Arabidopsis thaliana: one gene and its partners. The protein of the gene in region 2 interacts with the protein of the main gene of each other region in a biochemical or structural test. Each region holds a gene or a part of one and is shown on either strand. Other genes may lie near its edges.

Region 1 (5,720 bases), on a different chromosome or scaffold from region 2:
AAACTACATACTGTTTCTTGTAGAAAACCGACTTTTATTTCCCTGGCCCAAAGGCCTGTCATGGGTCCATTGAACTAACACGCAATGTGGATCATAACTATTCACTAGCCTACGTGGCCTTTTTCGAATTAAATTATGTCTTAAAATCTTGTGTTATTTGATCTTTTTGTAAATCATGATTAAAGGAGATTTTACAATTTGGTATTATTAAATTAAGATTAATTTCTTAAAAAAAACAAAGGTTACTCAAAATTACATATCTTAGAAATATTTGTATACTAAGTCTTTTTAAATAAATTTCAAAAGAATTTCATGAACAAATTATTAGAAACAAAGTTTAAAGTATACTGCAAATATACTCCACACACATGAATTTTTAAAAGTAATATCAGATTTGAAATATTGAAGATTGTAAAACGTACGATTAACTTTATATCCAAGATTAAGTGGTCAATTTGTTTTACGTTTTTAGATATGTTTGATATATTTCAAATGCACCTTTGGAGTTTGGACCATACGCATATTGTTTGATAATTTGATACACATAGTTAAACGTATTAAATATCCTCTATTTTTGAAAGTCAAGAAAAACAAAGAGAACATTTAAAGATTATAACATGTACATTTGAGATAGTTATCTTCTTGTTAAGAGTTAAAAACTCCTTAAGCTAAAGACTTCTCTATCCGAGGAAGGAAGAGGGTGTGATTACTTCATTTACTACTTTGCTTTCATTCCTTTTTCCCTATCTACACTTTTATGTTCTCTATAAAAGTATCTCACAAGGATTTTCATGATTAATGCCTATCTTTGGGACTTCTAAAACCGTTTAAATTCTCTAACTTCTCCAAGTATGAGAGCTTTTTCGGCGTAAGGTTTGGAGATTTAGTAGGTTTATCGCCTCCTTTGGAACTATTATCATTCCAACCCATAAAATCCAACAAGGTCTTGGAGTGTGGGTCATGCTTCTCGGCTTCTTCTCCCGAGTTAGAAGATCCCGCTGACTCGGAATCCGTCTCTGTTGTTCTCCCACCATCTGATGTTTCTTCAGCCAATAAAGTTTGCTTTAGTGCCAATGTATCTGTGTAAAGAACATCTTCTATCCTTGACATCACTGTGTAAGCCAAGCTCTCAAGTATCCTAGAGTAACTTTCCAACACCGCTTGCCCAACGTCCTGTATCCATTGATAAAAGATCAGTTTTCTTATAACCAAAACAAAAATGAGTTGTTTCTTGCCATTCAAGGCATCTACAATATATGAGAGCTTATCATTATGATTGATTTACCTTGTTAAACTGAATCTTGGAGATGTCAAGGGAAGATTGAGGAAGACCGGGAAATTTTTGTTTGAGCAAGACCAAGATTGTTTCTGCTCTCTCTTCGAACAATTCTCTCTTCTCCAAGCTAACTGCTGAGCCCCACGAAGATTTGGTGTCCTTTGTGTGAAGCTTCCTCTTCCAAATCACAACAGATGCCTCAATTCTGTTCTTCAAATCCAACACTTTGTGCTCTGTCGACATGTCCAACATCGCTAAGAACTGCTCAGGATCAAACCATTCCTCTGTTATGCTCTTGTATATCGAATCCCCGAGGCTGGCTCTTCCGTTCTGTCAATAAAAATCAAATCTTAAGAGCCAAACATAGAATAACAAAAGATAGAAATTGAATAAAAACGTGACATTGATTTACCTTTGGGAGAGAGTCGATGTAGCTCTCAGGTATTTCCATTTCTGAGAGGACTTGAGCATTGATGGCCATTGCAGCTTTTTGAACTTGTGTGACTGAATCTTTTTGGAAGTAAAGCATTCTCCGAGATGGTTCTGATAAACCTCCAGGAGGAACTTTAACCGGTGGTAGCCACCACTTGTCGTTTGTCCGATCATTCCTTGCTTGCTGCCCTTCTTCTGAATCTCTTGAGACATACCAAAACTCGTTGTGTCCTCTGAAATTGTCCAATGTATCCTGAACATGTTATCATTACCATTAATCCACCAAACGCTAGATATAAGCCGGATTCAATACAGATTGAATGGAGAGACTTACGATGAGCATGGCGTCAAGTTTTCGAAGAGCTGGAATGTTCATAAGAAGATCACCTCTTTGTCTTGTCACCATAATCTACAAAAAAATGGTTAACATTGTAACTTATTCTAAAGAGGTCGCAAAAATGATATTTTCTTTTCTTTGGGAAACTCAAACCTCAGTGCAAACTCCATCTTTGCTTGTTTGTTGAGAAGGAACAAACTCGACAATGTGATCGGTCACGGATAATAACCAATCAATCTCTTTCTTCCATCTCGCTTGTCTATCTTGCGGCATCGGTTGTAGCTTTGTTTGTTCTCCGAATATAGACGCTGCAAATCATCATACCACCAACACAAGATTTAGAAACCAAAACCCTCATACTTACTTGCGAAAGAAGAAACTTAAAAAGTATAAAAAGAAGATTACCAGCAAGATTTGTGATGGCATTGGAAAGAGCCAGAGCAGAAGATACGCCTTTCCCACCACCGGACATATCTTCTCCAAGAAGCAATTTAGCGAACCTGTCTTTCATCATCTCCATATCTGCAATACTTTATGTGATTATTAGGTTTTTTTTGAAGGATATAAGTTATTGGAAAAGGAAAGAAGATACACACCTGCTTGTTGTCTCTCAGATCTTTTTCCTGGCCGAGTAAGAGGGGAAATCATTGGAAGGCTGCTCTCTACGGGGCTTTCTACGAAGCTGTCGGAGTTTTGGCTTTCAGGCGTGTTGGATTCGACAATATGAGAATCTCCGTTCTCCACGACAATAGTTTGAGATTGTTGTTGTTTCGTCGAAGATGAATCAAACATTCTTTTAAAGTTGAATGATTTGGAAGCGCTTAGTCCTCGTTCCAACGCTGCAACCATGGTACGACAACGTTCGCTTGTTTTCTTGCCCCGCAAGTTAAAGCCCTTTATTCCTTTAAAATCCAGTTGATCTAAAGATGATACAACTCTAAGATTTTTGTTAAAAGCATAAAAAGAACAAAAAAAAAACCTCTTTTATTTGGAAAATGAAACAAAATTCTTAAGAACAAACGTTTGTTTTCGATTTTAAGGACTAAATGCATTTCAAATATAAAAATAGTAAATCAAAATTTAGGAAGTTAGCTATTTCCATGATTGGTTATCTTCTCTTTTGTGTTAGAAATAAATTGATGGTTTGTGATAAAAGTGACGTTCCACGAAGTACGGAAAAGACAATAAAACTCCAAACTGATTCAACTTTCTTATGGGAGATCTACCATTCATCAAATAGAGTATTTAGCTATCCTTATGTCTTGCATTTTTCTTGTTCTGCTTTTGAGTGTTTAGAATTTACTTAAGTTTTGGTTTATTTGGCTTTGAAATCAACCACTGTGCAATTGATTCATTGGTTACATTTCCATGTTTATGTACTATGGAATGTCTTCTTCACCACTAGAGCTACATAATTCACCAGAGAAAGACATAAAACTTGTCAGATATCAAAGTTTATATGACAAGTTTAGTTTTCAAATCACCAAAATATGTTTTTGATCTTGTCAAGTAATAAAGAAGCCATTGACCAGGCTTGTTCAAAACAATATAACATGAATAATAAACAAACAAGGCAATGTAAGAAATTACTAGTAATCTCCTCCTTTTCTTTTGCCTCCTGCTGTAGGATTCCTGCATGTACTAGACCTTAAGTATTGGATCTGCACCGAACTTGGAACATAAGAGAACATTTCTCCGAAATCCGTTACTTTGAAGAACATATTCTCTCTTACCACGAAAGATATCTCGAAGAGATGATTGACACCATATGTACCACAACAAATGCTGCTTTTTCTCTTTATCAATGAAGAAACTGCAAACTTCAAACACAGATAGAAAGTACGTAACAACCAAACACAAGTGGAATTTCAACTTTAAAGAATTTGCTCCACGACACTGCATTTGGCTCAATCTTAGTTGTAATCCATGTCTCCATCACACATCTATCCAAACACCTGCCCAAAAACACCTCAAGCTACTCTTCTCTAACACAATATGAAATCACATAACTATTGGAATCAAACGGCAGATGCAGACGTGATCCAAATCTCTATGTTGTAAAATAAAAAAAATAAAAAAAATCGTCGCCTTTACGATCAACAAAGTAAGTATTTCTCTTCAAAGAAACGCCTCTTTTTAAACGTTATATAAGAATTATAAGTAATGTCAAGAACCCTCCACGAACTAGACTTGAAGAATTAGACTTAAAATCATAGATTTCATGCCTTATATTTTGTGGTTGTTCTTGTTGTCGTATCCTATAGCATACCAATCTGATTCATGATAATTATTTTTGGGTTTGATCCATCTGGTTTGCACTAGCTTACCAACATATGGGTTCCATACCACCAGCCTCGAGGAATCCTTGGTGACTAATAACAATAAGCCGTGACAATGATAGACTAGCTTAGATATTTGAACTCGACAGACCATTTCACCTATCTCCTTTATAGATGAAAAGTCTTTGATGCTATGGAGACTGAATCTAGTTTGTGAAATATCAGTCAAAAAAGAATATTCACAAGTCATGGTTACCAGAAACTCCTTGGTAGATTTACCACAATGCTTCTTTGTAAAGCTCTCATCTTTAAATAGTGTGTTACATCGTTTGCAAGCGCATCCAATAGCTCTTCCAGAAATTCTCGAAGTCCTAGAGAGTATCTCTTCCACCAAAAAAAAATGACGATCATCTCTGATCTTTCGTAGGATTTGGTAGAAGAGATTCTATCTGGGACTTCGAAAACTTGAAAAAAAATTAGGAGTTTTTTAACTTTTTTTTTTTTTGGTTGGTAGGAGTTTTCTAACTTTTACGGTTCATTTTATAAAGACAAATAAGAAAAGAAAGTTAAAAGTTAATATTTAACAATATATAGAAATATCTAATTGTCTTCAAGGCTTACAAAACGTCAAAATTTTAAGAGTTCATATTATTTTCTTACGTTTTTATTTTAAGTTCAGTTTGAAAATGACGTTACTCAAATTAGTAAATCAAATTAAGTAAAGCTTTTATTTTCTCCTAATTATGAATAAGCCGTTTAATATTCATAAATCAGTTGTTTTCTCGGTTCCAATATGTCAATGACCCAAGGAGATTTTTTCAATTTAGATATGATTATATGACACAAAGATGGAGTGGTAAATTGGATGGAAATATGAGGAAGGTGAAAAGGTGGGGATGTTTATGATACAAAGATGGAGTGGTAAATTTAGAGATGCAGAAAAGAAATGGCTATAGATGGAAGACAAAGACATAAGTTAATTAGAAAATAACTATGTAAGAGAACAAATTGAAAAATTCTCACCAAGATAAATAACAATTAATGTTTCAAGCCTTGAAATCCATCTCCATAAAGCTAATAAGGAAGAAGAAGAATCTATTTGCTTTGCCGTCACAACTATAGACACTAAATATCCTGACTGGGGAAAGCATATTATTATTACCTATCTTCTTTAGAGATGATGGCAAATCTTTGATGTTTTGGAGATTGAATCTTTTTTCATTGGCAAAATGTGGTCAGTATTATAATCACAAGTCATGTTCAACAGAAACTCTTTACCACAATGCTTCTTTCTGAAGCTCTCATAAACACTAACCGAACAAAACCCAAATTAACCTGGTTATTTGTAGTGCATGTCGAACTTTCTTTTGTTTGTAAGCGAATTTCTCATACTGTA
Region 2 (6,330 bases):
CGAAAATCTGCCGCCATGTACCATCAGCATTGTGTAACTGCTACGACTAAGAAAGATCGATGATTGACCAGAAAATAAACAAATATACATTAAAGGACATGATTTATCTCAGACGTAAATGTTGATCTTCTTCTATCATCTTATGGGTGAATCATAGAGAGATGGACTCAATTTGTTAAATGAAATGAGTTTATAATCAAATAAAAACCTACCGGATCAAGAACATTACGTACGAACACAAGTGAGAATGAAAGTGTCGGCGAGAGAGAGAAAGAAAAGGAGTGAGCAAACAAAGAGACAACACCGAGTTTTGTTTTTAAGAGTTTTACAAGAAAAGGAAAAAAAGTTAGTTAGGGGAAAAAATAGCGGGAAACCGTCGATATCCGGTGAGTCAAAGGGGATTTGTGAGTGTGTAGCCACCGGCTATTGCGGGTTAAACGTAACGAACACGCCTCGACTTAAGCCTTGAAGGCAGCCTCCTCCGTACGGCAATGGCTCGAGAATTAAATGAACTAAGTCCCGTGCACACTACGCACTTTTCTTCTTCATATATTTAAAAAAACTTCCACTTTCTTTATGAAGATCTCAGTTATTATTTTCTGATGTTTAATTGATTTGTTAACATATTTTACTAGCAGCATGTGAATTTATGTTTTTCACAAGAATAATGCAAATTCTTAAGTGATTGAAAGACATATTAGGTGAATATTAGTTCACTAAACGTCATGACACATATCTAATCATTTCAATTAGTTTAGGAATCGAATAATACGTGGGTCTAAATCAAGGGGCAGATAACGCAAAGAAAGAGATTGATCAACAAACATATATGTTTGGTAAAGAGAAGCCAAGCTTATTCACCATAAATTTTATTTAATCAATGATTTATTTTTCCTTTTTTTTGTCTTTTCCGGTGAGAGTTAAAATCAATCATTCTATTATCTCCAAGGGGAAAACGTCTAGTCAATAAGCAAAATGAATATCAAATAAATTTGATTAAAAATGTAAAATCAAAAGTTTTGAGGTTCTGAAATCATTGAAGATTATAGTCTAAAGATCAGGTTAGGTCTATGTGGAATTGATATGTATGGAAGACACTCTGGCTCATTCAGAAGGTTTCAAATAAGCTGGTTTAGATACTATTGTCCAAGAAAGACAAGTGCTCTCTCATTCTCATTGGTTCGCGCGTGTAAGCTCTCATTGTCTTTAGGTTTGGAACATAATCCTTAAGACAATTGGTGTGAATCTAGGAAACAGAGAAATCAAGGATTCGTGGTATATTTACAGATCAAAATGCAAACAAGAATACAAATACTTGTTACTAGTTCTTCAACTTTTGTCATTTTCAGACTACAAACAACAGATTTTTGATTCCTTGGGTAAACAAGTTATGAAAAAGGAGAAAACAAATACTTATAGCTCTAATTCTCCTGTTGATTCCTTTCTTCTTGTTGAATCAGAGTATAGAACAACCTTTCTGAGATTTTCTCTTCTTCTTCTTCTTGTTTTTTGGTGGCTGGAGAACGACCTTGATAGCCGCATCAAACACTGCTTTCACATTCTGTTGAACAGATAACAGATATAGGAATCATCAGCAGATTCAATTGGCGGTTTTAGACAGGTAAAGATTAGATAAAGATATTGACTCTCAGGTTAATACCTGTTGAGTTTTTGCACTGCATTCGATATAAGCAGGCGCCCCAATCAGCTTCTTTAGTTCTTCACCCTGTTTTGATACCATCAAAATATGAAACATGCAGAATATTAACACCTAGGATTCAGTTTAGAAAGATAATGAGAAAGGTACCTGAGCGGTAGAGATAGGCACAGCACCAGGGTGCTCGGCAAAGAATTGCTTATCATCTCGAAGATCTGTACGAGACTCAGTCATCAAAATATCAGAAGAGTTCCCCAAAACAGAAAACCCCCGATAATCAGGCGATTAAGAGTTGAGCTAAGAAAAAACCAACCAAGCTTTGTTCCAACGAGGATGATGGGAACACCAGGAGCATAATGTCTCAGTTCAGGAACCCACTAAGAATCAAAAGCAAGATACCAAATGTATTCTATCAGAATCACTGAATGTAAACTGAATAAAACAGGAAAGAAGTTTCAGGAGAAGACCACAGATCAAACCTTTTTAGAAACATTTTCATAGCTAGCTTTGCTGACAAGTGAGAATGCAAGTAAGAAGACATCTGCACCGCGATAGCTCAAAGGTCTTAGTCTATTGTAGTCCTCTTGCCCTGTTTCACCAAGTCAAAAACACAAATGACTCTCTGGAAGAGGAGGAAATTCAAAAGACAAAAAAATCCAAGGTAACAACTTGCCTGCAGTATCCCACAATCCCAAGTTGATAGTGTTGCCATCAACAATCACATTGGCACTGAAATTATCGAACACAGTTGGCACATAATCCTGTCACATAGAAAATTCCACTAAAACATCAGCTACAAAATCTCCTTACAGAAAGTTACCTAACACTCTTTCTAAGATCATTAAACAGATCAACAACATTGCTACGGTACATGAATCTCTGAGTCTCTCAAATCCTAAAGATCACATCAGTACATTCACTAAGGTAGCAGAAAGAAGAAGACTTTAAGAAAACCTAACAAATACTTGTGACTAAATCCAACTCATAAGCTTCAACAACAAAACCAACTTCACCAAGCTAAAATTTCACGAAATCAAAGTAAAAGAAGAGAACTTTAAAGCTAACCGTGGGGAAAGTGTTGCTAGTGTAGGAGATGAGAAGACAAGTCTTTCCAACAGCACCGTCGCCGACAGTGACACACTTGATAAACCTTGAAGCACTCATCTTTCTCTCCTTCTTCAAACTTCAAAAACCCTAATTTGTTCACGAATTGGGGATTTTTGACTAAAGAGAGAGAGAGTGAGGTTCTTTAAAGAGAAAGAAGACAAAGAAATAGCTGCTGAAAGTCTCTCCCAGACTAGAGTCTTCCTAATTTTTACTACTCATCCTCACATGCACCTCAATTTCTTGGTCTTCTTCTTCCTTTTTTTTCTTCTTTTTACTAAAATTTTATAAAATAGCATTTCTTCTTAGATAGTGCGTTTCCCAACATAAGACCCTACAAAAATTTATGGGATGAAAATTATAATAATAATTTCTATGTACTTTTTTTTTTTTTTTTTTTTAAACTTCGTTTTCATCTAATACTATGCAGCCCATATACTAAATGCCTAAATCTATACATATTTAGATTGATCTTTAAATATCAATAAAAAATTTAGCTAAATTTTGACTGGTTTAGAGGATTTTTCCGATGTGTCATTAGGATTATACAACTATGGTTTAAATATCAATAAAAAATATAGCTGGTTTTACAATGCAATATGATTGGAGTGTTAATTTTTATTGATCAGCCTCCTTTGGATACATATTCTTCTGTTACATGTTAAATGATAATATTTTTGTCCCGGTATGTTGAAGTAAACATTAAAAATGTACATACAACTTCTCTAAGAAATAAATGTTGAGACACTAAAAAAAACGTGAACTTAAGGTCAATATTTAATATTTTTATAACCAATCACGGTATAAAGGCTTACCTTTTGAATCTGTCTAGCTAGTTATTGACCGTTAATTTTAAAAACACTTATTGACCGTTAAAGAATCTGTTATGGGGACCCAAAAAAAACGAATGGTAATTTCACTAATTTGTTATGTTATGTCCAACATAATAGGCGAAGAATAGGGTGAAACCAACATTTAAAAATAGCAAAAACAAATTAAAAAAAAAAAATCGAAAAGGAAAAATGAAGAGAGTTTCAAAGTTACAACGGTGGATTCTATTTCAGACGCGTAAATTTCTCCGGAAACCTGAAAACCTGAGTGCGAAACATTCTCTTATATCATCCTCTTTTCTGAAAGCTTGTTATTTGAGCTCTCCTTGTTTTTTATTCCTCCGACAAGGACGAGGTTCCAAGAGAACTTAGCTTCTTGTTCTACGTACGACACCAAAAATTAATTCAAAAAAGAAAAAGAAGAGAGTTCAATGAGAAAACATTCTCTTGATCGATGGCTTTTAACAGCTGTTCTTGTCGTTCTCCTCTCGTCTTCTTCCTCCTTCGCGGCCAAGAAGGACGCCAAGAAGAAGAAGAAGAGTAATAAGGAGGTGACATATGATGGAACCTCTTTGATCATCGATGGCAAAAGAGAGCTTCTTTATTCTGGCTCTATTCATTACCCGAGAAGCACTCCGGAAGTATTTATTGAATCACATAATCTCTGTTTTTCTAAAACGTTTTTTTTTTTTTTTTGTATATTGAGATTATTGTGTCATTTGGGTTTGGTTTAGATGTGGCCAAGTATCATCAAGAGAGCCAAGCAAGGCGGTTTGAACACGATTCAGACATACGTTTTCTGGAATGTACATGAGCCTCAACAAGGAAAGGTAATTCATAACCAAAAACTGATCTATATATAGAACATATAAAACACGCATGCATGAATCTTTAGGATTCATAATGTATTTTGTGTTGCGTTCATCAGTTCAACTTTTCGGGACGAGCTGATTTGGTGAAGTTCATAAAGTTGATTCAAAAGAATGGAATGTATGTGACCTTAAGGCTTGGACCGTTCATCCAAGCTGAATGGACTCATGGGTAATAATGCATTGCTTCTTCTTCTTTTTCGGCGTTCTCAAGATCTTCATTTTAACATTTTATATGATCTCTTTGTGATGATCAGAGGACTTCCTTATTGGCTTAGAGAAGTTCCTGGAATTTTCTTCCGTACAGACAATAAACAATTCAAGGTATTATACATAGAATTACTATATATATGTCAATGTGTGTTTTGTTACAATTAGATATATTACAAGATATGACCATAAAAATATTGCAGGAGCATACAGAAAGGTATGTACGGATGATACTCGACAAAATGAAGGAGGAAAGATTGTTTGCGTCACAAGGAGGCCCCATTATATTAGGACAGGTGACAACAAAGAAAAGAGAAACCTATATATTTATATATGATTTGAAAAATGTTATAAAATGATGAGTTTTGGAATGAATATGAATTGCAGATAGAAAACGAATATAGCGCGGTTCAACGTGCATATAAACAAGACGGGTTAAACTACATTAAATGGGCATCTAATTTGGTGGACTCAATGAAACTCGGGATCCCATGGGTTATGTGCAAGCAGAACGACGCTCCTGATCCTATGGTAAAGTTCATTTTTACATGATTGTGTTTTATCCGAATGAGGAAGAAAGTTTTAAAATATTTGAAAACACTGTGGAAACAGATCAATGCTTGTAATGGAAGACATTGCGGTGATACTTTCCCCGGTCCAAACAGAGAAAACAAACCATCTTTATGGACTGAGAATTGGACTACTCAGTGAGTTTGTTTTTCTTACTCTTGAATTAAACATGTAAAAACCTTAGGTTCATTCATATAAGTGTTGAATATCTTGCCAATTTCTTCAATAGGTTCCGCGTGTTTGGTGATCCGCCAACTCAAAGATCAGTAGAAGATATCGCGTATTCAGTTGCTCGATTCTTCTCCAAGAACGGAACCCATGTCAACTACTACATGGTAAAAATTATGATCCATTCGAGTTAACCATATATGCAAAAATGATTGTCAAAATTCTCAAAATGGTTCTTTAATCTTGTAGTACCACGGAGGGACTAACTTTGGAAGAACCTCTGCACATTATGTGACCACTAGATACTACGATGATGCACCTCTTGATGAATATGGTTTAGAGAAAGAGCCTAAGTATGGTCATCTTAAGCATCTTCACAACGCTCTTAACCTCTGCAAGAAGCCACTTCTTTGGGGTCAGCCTAAAACCGAGAAACCTGGAAAAGATACAGAGGTATTAGCATATATGCATGTACACATACAAACAGACTCTGATTTGTTTTTTCAAAATGCTTAAAGGATTCAACTTTTTGGTGTGTAATAACAGATTAGATACTACGAACAACCTGGAACCAAAACTTGTGCTGCTTTCTTGGCTAACAACAATACTGAAGCTGCAGAAACCATCAAATTCAAGGGCAGAGAATACGTGATCGCGCCTCGTTCTATTAGTATTCTTCCCGATTGTAAAACTGTTGTTTACAACACTGCACAGGTGAAGAAAACATTAAATACCGGTTTATTTGAGCAAAAAAAACAGAGTTTTAACAAGTTCTTGTTTGTTATTGGACCAGATTGTTTCTCAACACACTTCAAGGAACTTTATGAAGTCTAAAAAGGCAAACAAGAAGTTTGATTTCAAAGTTTTCACAGAGACATTGCCTAGTAAACTCGAAGGTAACTCATACATACCCGTTGAGCTT
Region 3 (5,609 bases), on a different chromosome or scaffold from region 2:
AAACCTTCTCGCCAAAGCTTCAAAACCAAATCCACCAGGTAAAGTTTAAAGCTTTGAAATTTGGAATCTTGGATTGACATTGATGAGGATTGGTATTAAAGAAAGGATGTTACTTTTGATTGTTTGTGTAGAGCTGGTGCTGTGGTGGCTAAGTATGGAGACAAAAGTGTATACTTTGATTTAGAAGATTTGGGTAACACAACAGGACAATGGGATGTGTATGGATCTGATGCTCCTTCTCCTTATAACCCACTTCAGGTTTTTGTACACTCTTAAATCTTTAGATCTATATGCTTCTTCAAATTCTAAGACTTTGTGATTATGTTGCTTGCAGAGCAAGTTCTTTGAGACATTTGCTGCTCCTTTCACAAAGAGAGGTTTGCTTCTCAAATTTTTGATTCTTGGAGGAGGCTCTTTGCTTACATATGTTAGTGCGAACTCTACCGGCGATGTTCTTCCGATTAAGAGAGGTCCTCAAGAGCCACCTAAGCTCGGTCCTCGCGGCAAGCTTTAAATTAGCTTTCTAAAATCTTTCAAAAAGTCAGAAACTTTCTCCCCAATTCTATGAACCCTATTTATGTATATTGTACTGTGTTGTGTTAATTGCTTTGTAAGCTAGTGATTCTGAAAATCAGTTATGATGAATCAATGAAATTGCATTTCAAGTCTGCTACAACACACAATGGTGCATTTTGTGGAATCTTTAAGCAGATTGAAAATGCAGTAAGAAGCCCTAATTTAACAAGAACGGAAAAAAGAAACCGGTTTCTCTCAGGAGTATCTTGCGGTTGGACTCCTCATAGCTCCAAGATTATCAAGATAAGAACTCTTCTTGTTGTTAGTCATTATACCTGTGACTTTCGACAACAACGGTTTCTCTCTATCTCCGAAAAAGCTTTCTTTCTTCATTTCATTGTTTTTGTTACCCCATTGCATAACATCAGAAAGTGTTCCTGAAGCCATATCCTCTGTGAAACTTAGTCTTTCCTCTCTTAGTTTCTCATTCTCCTTCAAGCTATATCTGTTCTTAGAAGGTGCATTATTTGTAGGTTCTTGAGTAAGCTGATCAGCGTAAAGCACGTCTTCTATTCTCGACATCACGGTGTGAGCTAAACTCTCAAGCACTCTTGAATAACTCTCCAATATCGCAAGTCCTACATCCTGCAACAACAATTATCCAATAATGAGATTTTCTCATGACCATAGAGAAAACACAATCAAAATGTATTTGGAAGTTAAGAGTTTTAAATTACTCTGTTGAATTGAATCTTGCTGATATCGAGCGAGGACTGTGAGATTCCGGGAAACCCTTGTTTTAATAGTAGCAAGATGGTTTCAGCTCTTTCTTCAAACTGTTCTCTTTTCTCAATACTCACTGTTGATCCCCAAGGAGACTTTGTGTCCTTCTGCACCATTTTCCTCTTCCATATCACAATCGATGCTTCGATTCTGTTCTTTAGATCAAGAATCTTGTGCTCAGATGATAAATCCATTTCAATTAGGAATTGATCTGCATCAAACATCTCTACTGTTATCATTCTGTATATCACATCTCCCAAGCTAGCTCTCCCATTCTGTTCTCAACAACACACGAAAACATCGATAAGGACTAGATCAATAACAGATTCTTGATGAATGTTTTTATGTGTTTATTAAATAACCTTAGGAAGTGACTCAAGGTAGCTTTCAGGAATCTCCATTTCAGACAGAACTTGAGCGTTTATCGCCATTGCAGCTTTAAGGACTTGATTCACACATTCCTTCTGGCTCTGTAGAAACCTTCTTGATATCTCTGAGAGGCCGTTAGGTGGGACTTTTACTGCCGGTAACCACCATTTCTCATCGTTCCTTGTCTCGCAAGAATCAGGAGAATCTTTTTTAACATAATAAAACTCATCCTGATCCTTGAATTTATCAAGACAATCCTGCAAGAGAATGATTATAAATGTGAGATTAATTATTTAACAGCCTTTGATTAGTATATTTTGTGCTGTTGTTGTTTGTTCTTCTTACGAGAAGCATAGCATCGAGTTTCTTAAGTGCAGGGATGTTACAGAGAAGATCTGTTCTTTGTCTTGTTGACATGACTTCCATTGAAGTACCATCTTTGTTTGTTTGTTGTGTTGGAGCGAATTCAACTATATAATCAGCCACAGAGATAAGCCATCCAATTTCTCTCCTCCAACGCGTTTTTCTATCCACCGCCATTGGCTCTAAACGCCGTTGTTCTCCAAACGCAGACGCTGCAACAACAAAAAAATTACAGAACTTAACATCAAATTGGTGATAAAATTGAAAATTTCCATGGAACTGAAAGATTTGGGAAAAGATCTTACCTGCGAGATTGGTAATGGCGTTAGATAAAGCCAAAGCCGATGAAACACCTTTTCCTCCTCCTGACATATCTTCTCCAAGAAGCAATTTCGAAAATTTCTCTTTCATTTGCTCCATTGCTGTAATAACAACAACATATACTTTAGTTTTTGCCCTAACTTATAATCCAAGATTAGTACTTTGCCCCTAACTTGCAATCCAAGAAACCTAGAAGATATGAGCCAGTTCATTAGATTTTACCTGCTTGCAATATTATTAGTGCCTCCATGGAATCCGATGAAGAGACTCTCGGAAGCTTGTCATTGCGATTAGGCGTTACTCCGCCTATAGGCAAAGAAGGTCGGTCAACGCTGCCACATTTTCCGGGTTGACTCCTAAACATCATCATGTCATTATCATCATCATCCAAATTGTCAGAACCATCCATTCTCATTGCACAATCTGAGCTCCAGCTTTTAACATGTCTTGAAGCTGAGTTTTCGTTCATGTTCTTGAAATGAAACAATCTTGATTTGTAAGTCTCTTGTTCTTGCTCCATTGCTTTTACCATTAATTACTAGTTAATCAAAACAATAAAAAAAATGAAAAGATTTCTATGATTTGAAAATTCTTTTTAATCTCCATTTGTTCTCCTCTTCGTGTAATAAAGAGGAGTTTTAGGAGATCATGAAGAAAAAACAAACTTAATTAACCAAAAAACGGTGTTTGATTTTAATTTCAGACTTAGCAAATACAGAACACCATCATTTGACTTCTGTTAATGGTTTTAGTTTTAACCTGATTATTTTAGTAACTATTATGATTCGTTGTCCATAACCATAAACAAGTAGTGAATTTGGTCAGATTCTTCAGGGGAAAAAAATAAGAGGATATTTTTAATTTTCTTGAAATGTTTTACTATTTATAAATTGATACTTGGTGGAATGTGGGCTGCACGTTATTTGAAAGTTGAATTTCTCCACACACATAAAAAAAATCTCAATCTTTTTCTTTAAATCAAACATTGAGATGTAGGGAGGACATGTTACTGACATTATCTGTAATATCATTTTTGTTTATGTCTTGTTGTATTAAAAAAATCTCAGTTTCTCAACTAAATTAAGGATTATGGATGATAATGTTTTCCTCAATTTTGACCTCTCTCTGAATTTCTATCAAAGTAAAAGTTTAAAATAAATTTATATTATGCTAATGATAGATTAGTCTAAGTCAGTCTAAGAAATTCTCTATTTGTGGCTGGGCAATTATAATTGTTTGCATCTCAACTAAAAGAATATAAATATAAAAAATCTTCTGCATTTCACTTTTATTGATCACAAAAGCAAACACTTGTAAAAATGAAAAATCTTACATCATTGAAATCAACTTCCTCTCTTAGCTTGGGCCTATTTACAAACTTAGAATTCAAACAAAGCTAAAGATCTTGATAGTCTTAGCAAGATTTTTTTTTCTCAGATTTTCATAGAAGCAAAAGAAAAAGGAAAAAAAAACATCCCCATGATTAGGGTAGTGTAATTAAGGAGTAGAAGCGCCTTTAAAGATGAGGAACTTAAGTGTCTCCAATTGAAAATAGATAAAAGTCCCTTTAGAATGTGTGAAGAAACACCCAAAATTTGATCCCACCACACATTGCCATCCACTCCCATATCTCTCATCAAACTCCTGAAAATTCATTATAGAACAAACAAAATTAACCAAGTAGTTATATATAGATGATAATGATGTATTTATGACTTATAAATAGAATTGAAGAAAATCATTACTAATACCTTCTTGATGTGACCAGCAATGGATTTACAGTCAAAGACATCAAAAAGGTCAAGAGCTTGAGAAGCAAATGCCATAGCTTGCATCTGCATCTTCACTGGCATGTCTGAATCTTCCACCATTGCTTTGCCTTCCAACATCTTTCTCTATCTCTCTCTCTCTCAATAACTCCAAACGTTTTTCAATTTTTTTGATGAGAACTAAAGACAAGGGAAGCTTTGGATCTTTATAGGCTCCTAAAAGACACAAAATGAAAAAAAGATTCCTTCAATATCTAATCTTTATCAAGAAAACCCATACAAAGATAAATAATGTCTCCTCTTTGAGGAAAAATATGGGAAAATGTGCCTAACCTTTTTCTTTGTCGTCTTCTCTTCACTGGGATTACTTCCTCACGGGTTCTTGGATTCAAAGTCTTTTCAAGAAGAAATGTACGTATAAGCATTCAAAAGAATGGCACGAACGAACACAACTGTTCTTTAAATTTAGTCAAAACGTTGATAATTTCAAGATGACAAAGCTGATCAAAGAAACAAAGTTGATAATTTGAAGACTAAAAAAAGGAACAAGACAGTTAAGAAAAAGTATAATAAAATAAGGTGTAATGACTCATTTGAGCAGATATATGTGTCTCTCTCTTACGTGTGTCCAAGTATTTTTTGTCTTTGACGTTTAATGGATAACGATGGAGAGGTGCATAATTAATTAGTTAAATAGCTAACATGTGAAAGAAAAAAAATGTAATTAGCTAAGCCTTCCACAAAACTCGTAAATATGTCGGTGTAACAGTTGGGATTTATAAGCCCATTAAGAAGGTTTAGGACCCATTGATCTAGCTAGCAACCTATGCTAGTTCTTGAAGAATTCTCAACTTTTTAATGCAAATGGTGTGTTTAATCTTTTTATGCCCATTGGAGTTTTGGATAGAAAACAAAATTTAGAGTAATTACCATGCATGCTTAAGTTGTAGTGGCAAAAAATGACTAAATTGAATTTATTTTATAGTTTAATTTAGAAAACACAATTACTAGTCTATAGTAGTTACTAATTATACACTTACATCACTTTTTTGTTCTTTAAATACTACCATCATAGGGTATTGCCGTATTGGCAATAAGTCCATAACTATTTGATAATTTATCAATGTGTTTTTCTTTTCTTACTTTTTTGAATAAAATGAAATGTTCTTATATACTTTCTAATAAAATGAAATTGCATTTTACCTTGTATACTCTAAATATGTATCATAATTTCCTTTCCTATACTAGTTGTTTTATCAAATCCTAAAAACATTAGTCAAACAATGCTACTAAACTCCACTCTCTTTTTGGTATTTCTTTAATATTTCATAACTTTCATTTATCAATTACTATGCAAAAAGCAACAATTTTTCTTACCAAAATTAAAAACCAAAAAGCAACAATATTTTTAATTTAGTTTTCCTTTGTTGTTTTTTTGACTAAAACATGCGAGTCTTCTTTCTTGGCTCCCGCCGTAAATCCTGGTGA

Evidence for each region. Proteins that work in one complex are often made in the same cells at the same time.
Region 1: the proteins of RAC3 (region 2) and ROPGEF8 form a complex in vitro, tested with the Arabidopsis thaliana proteins (one study listed by BioGRID).
Region 3: the proteins of RAC3 (region 2) and ROPGEF11 form a complex in vitro, tested with the Arabidopsis thaliana proteins (one study listed by BioGRID).

Annotation. Positions count from the first base shown.
Region 1 is NC_003074.8:8,979,900-8,985,619, forward strand, and holds ROPGEF8 (RHO guanyl-nucleotide exchange factor 8), read right to left. Parts: upstream 3,005-5,720; 5' UTR 2,895-3,004; coding exon 2,642-2,894; intron 2,568-2,641; coding exon 2,451-2,567; intron 2,354-2,450; coding exon 2,199-2,353; intron 2,118-2,198; coding exon 2,043-2,117; intron 1,962-2,042; coding exon 1,689-1,961; intron 1,607-1,688; coding exon 1,286-1,606; intron 1,174-1,285; coding exon 796-1,173; 3' UTR 501-795; downstream 1-500. UniProt on the Arabidopsis thaliana protein: Guanine-nucleotide exchange factor (GEF) that acts as an activator of Rop (Rho of plants) GTPases by promoting the exchange of GDP for GTP. Active as homodimer.
Region 2 is NC_003075.7:16,669,667-16,675,996, reverse strand, and holds RAC3 (RAC-like 3), read right to left. Parts: upstream 3,806-6,330; 5' UTR 3,754-3,805; exon of another isoform or gene 3,577-3,753; intron 3,214-3,576; exon of another isoform or gene 3,166-3,213; 5' UTR 3,143-3,165; intron 3,079-3,142; exon of another isoform or gene 3,032-3,078; 5' UTR 2,822-3,031; coding exon 2,723-2,821; intron 2,419-2,722; coding exon 2,331-2,418; intron 2,247-2,330; coding exon 2,137-2,246; intron 2,035-2,136; coding exon 1,971-2,034; coding exon of another isoform or gene 1,891-1,970; exon of another isoform or gene 1,873-1,890; coding exon 1,808-1,872; intron 1,727-1,807; coding exon 1,661-1,726; intron 1,562-1,660; coding exon 1,457-1,561; 3' UTR 1,208-1,456; downstream 1-1,207. Other genes in the region: AT4G35025 (uncharacterized protein), read left to right, coding at 248-469; BGAL11 (beta-galactosidase 11), read left to right, coding at 4,023-4,232, 4,326-4,421, 4,520-4,632, 4,718-4,784, 4,874-4,966, 5,058-5,201, 5,283-5,377, 5,470-5,575 and 3 more. UniProt on the Arabidopsis thaliana protein: Inactive GDP-bound Rho GTPases reside in the cytosol, are found in a complex with Rho GDP-dissociation inhibitors (Rho GDIs), and are released from the GDI protein in order to translocate to membranes upon activation.
Region 3 is NC_003070.9:19,454,995-19,460,603, forward strand, and holds ROPGEF11 (rop guanine nucleotide exchange factor-like protein), read right to left. Parts: upstream 3,076-5,609; 5' UTR 2,885-3,075; coding exon 2,575-2,884; intron 2,454-2,574; coding exon 2,337-2,453; intron 2,244-2,336; coding exon 2,014-2,243; intron 1,926-2,013; coding exon 1,662-1,925; intron 1,575-1,661; coding exon 1,254-1,574; intron 1,162-1,253; coding exon 772-1,161; 3' UTR 515-771; downstream 1-514. Other genes in the region: PSAH2 (photosystem I subunit H2), read left to right, coding at 1-38, 132-258, 335-514; AT1G52245 (dynein light chain LC6, flagellar outer arm-like protein), read right to left, coding at 3,850-3,996, 4,104-4,241. UniProt on the Arabidopsis thaliana protein: Guanine-nucleotide exchange factor (GEF) that acts as an activator of Rop (Rho of plants) GTPases by promoting the exchange of GDP for GTP.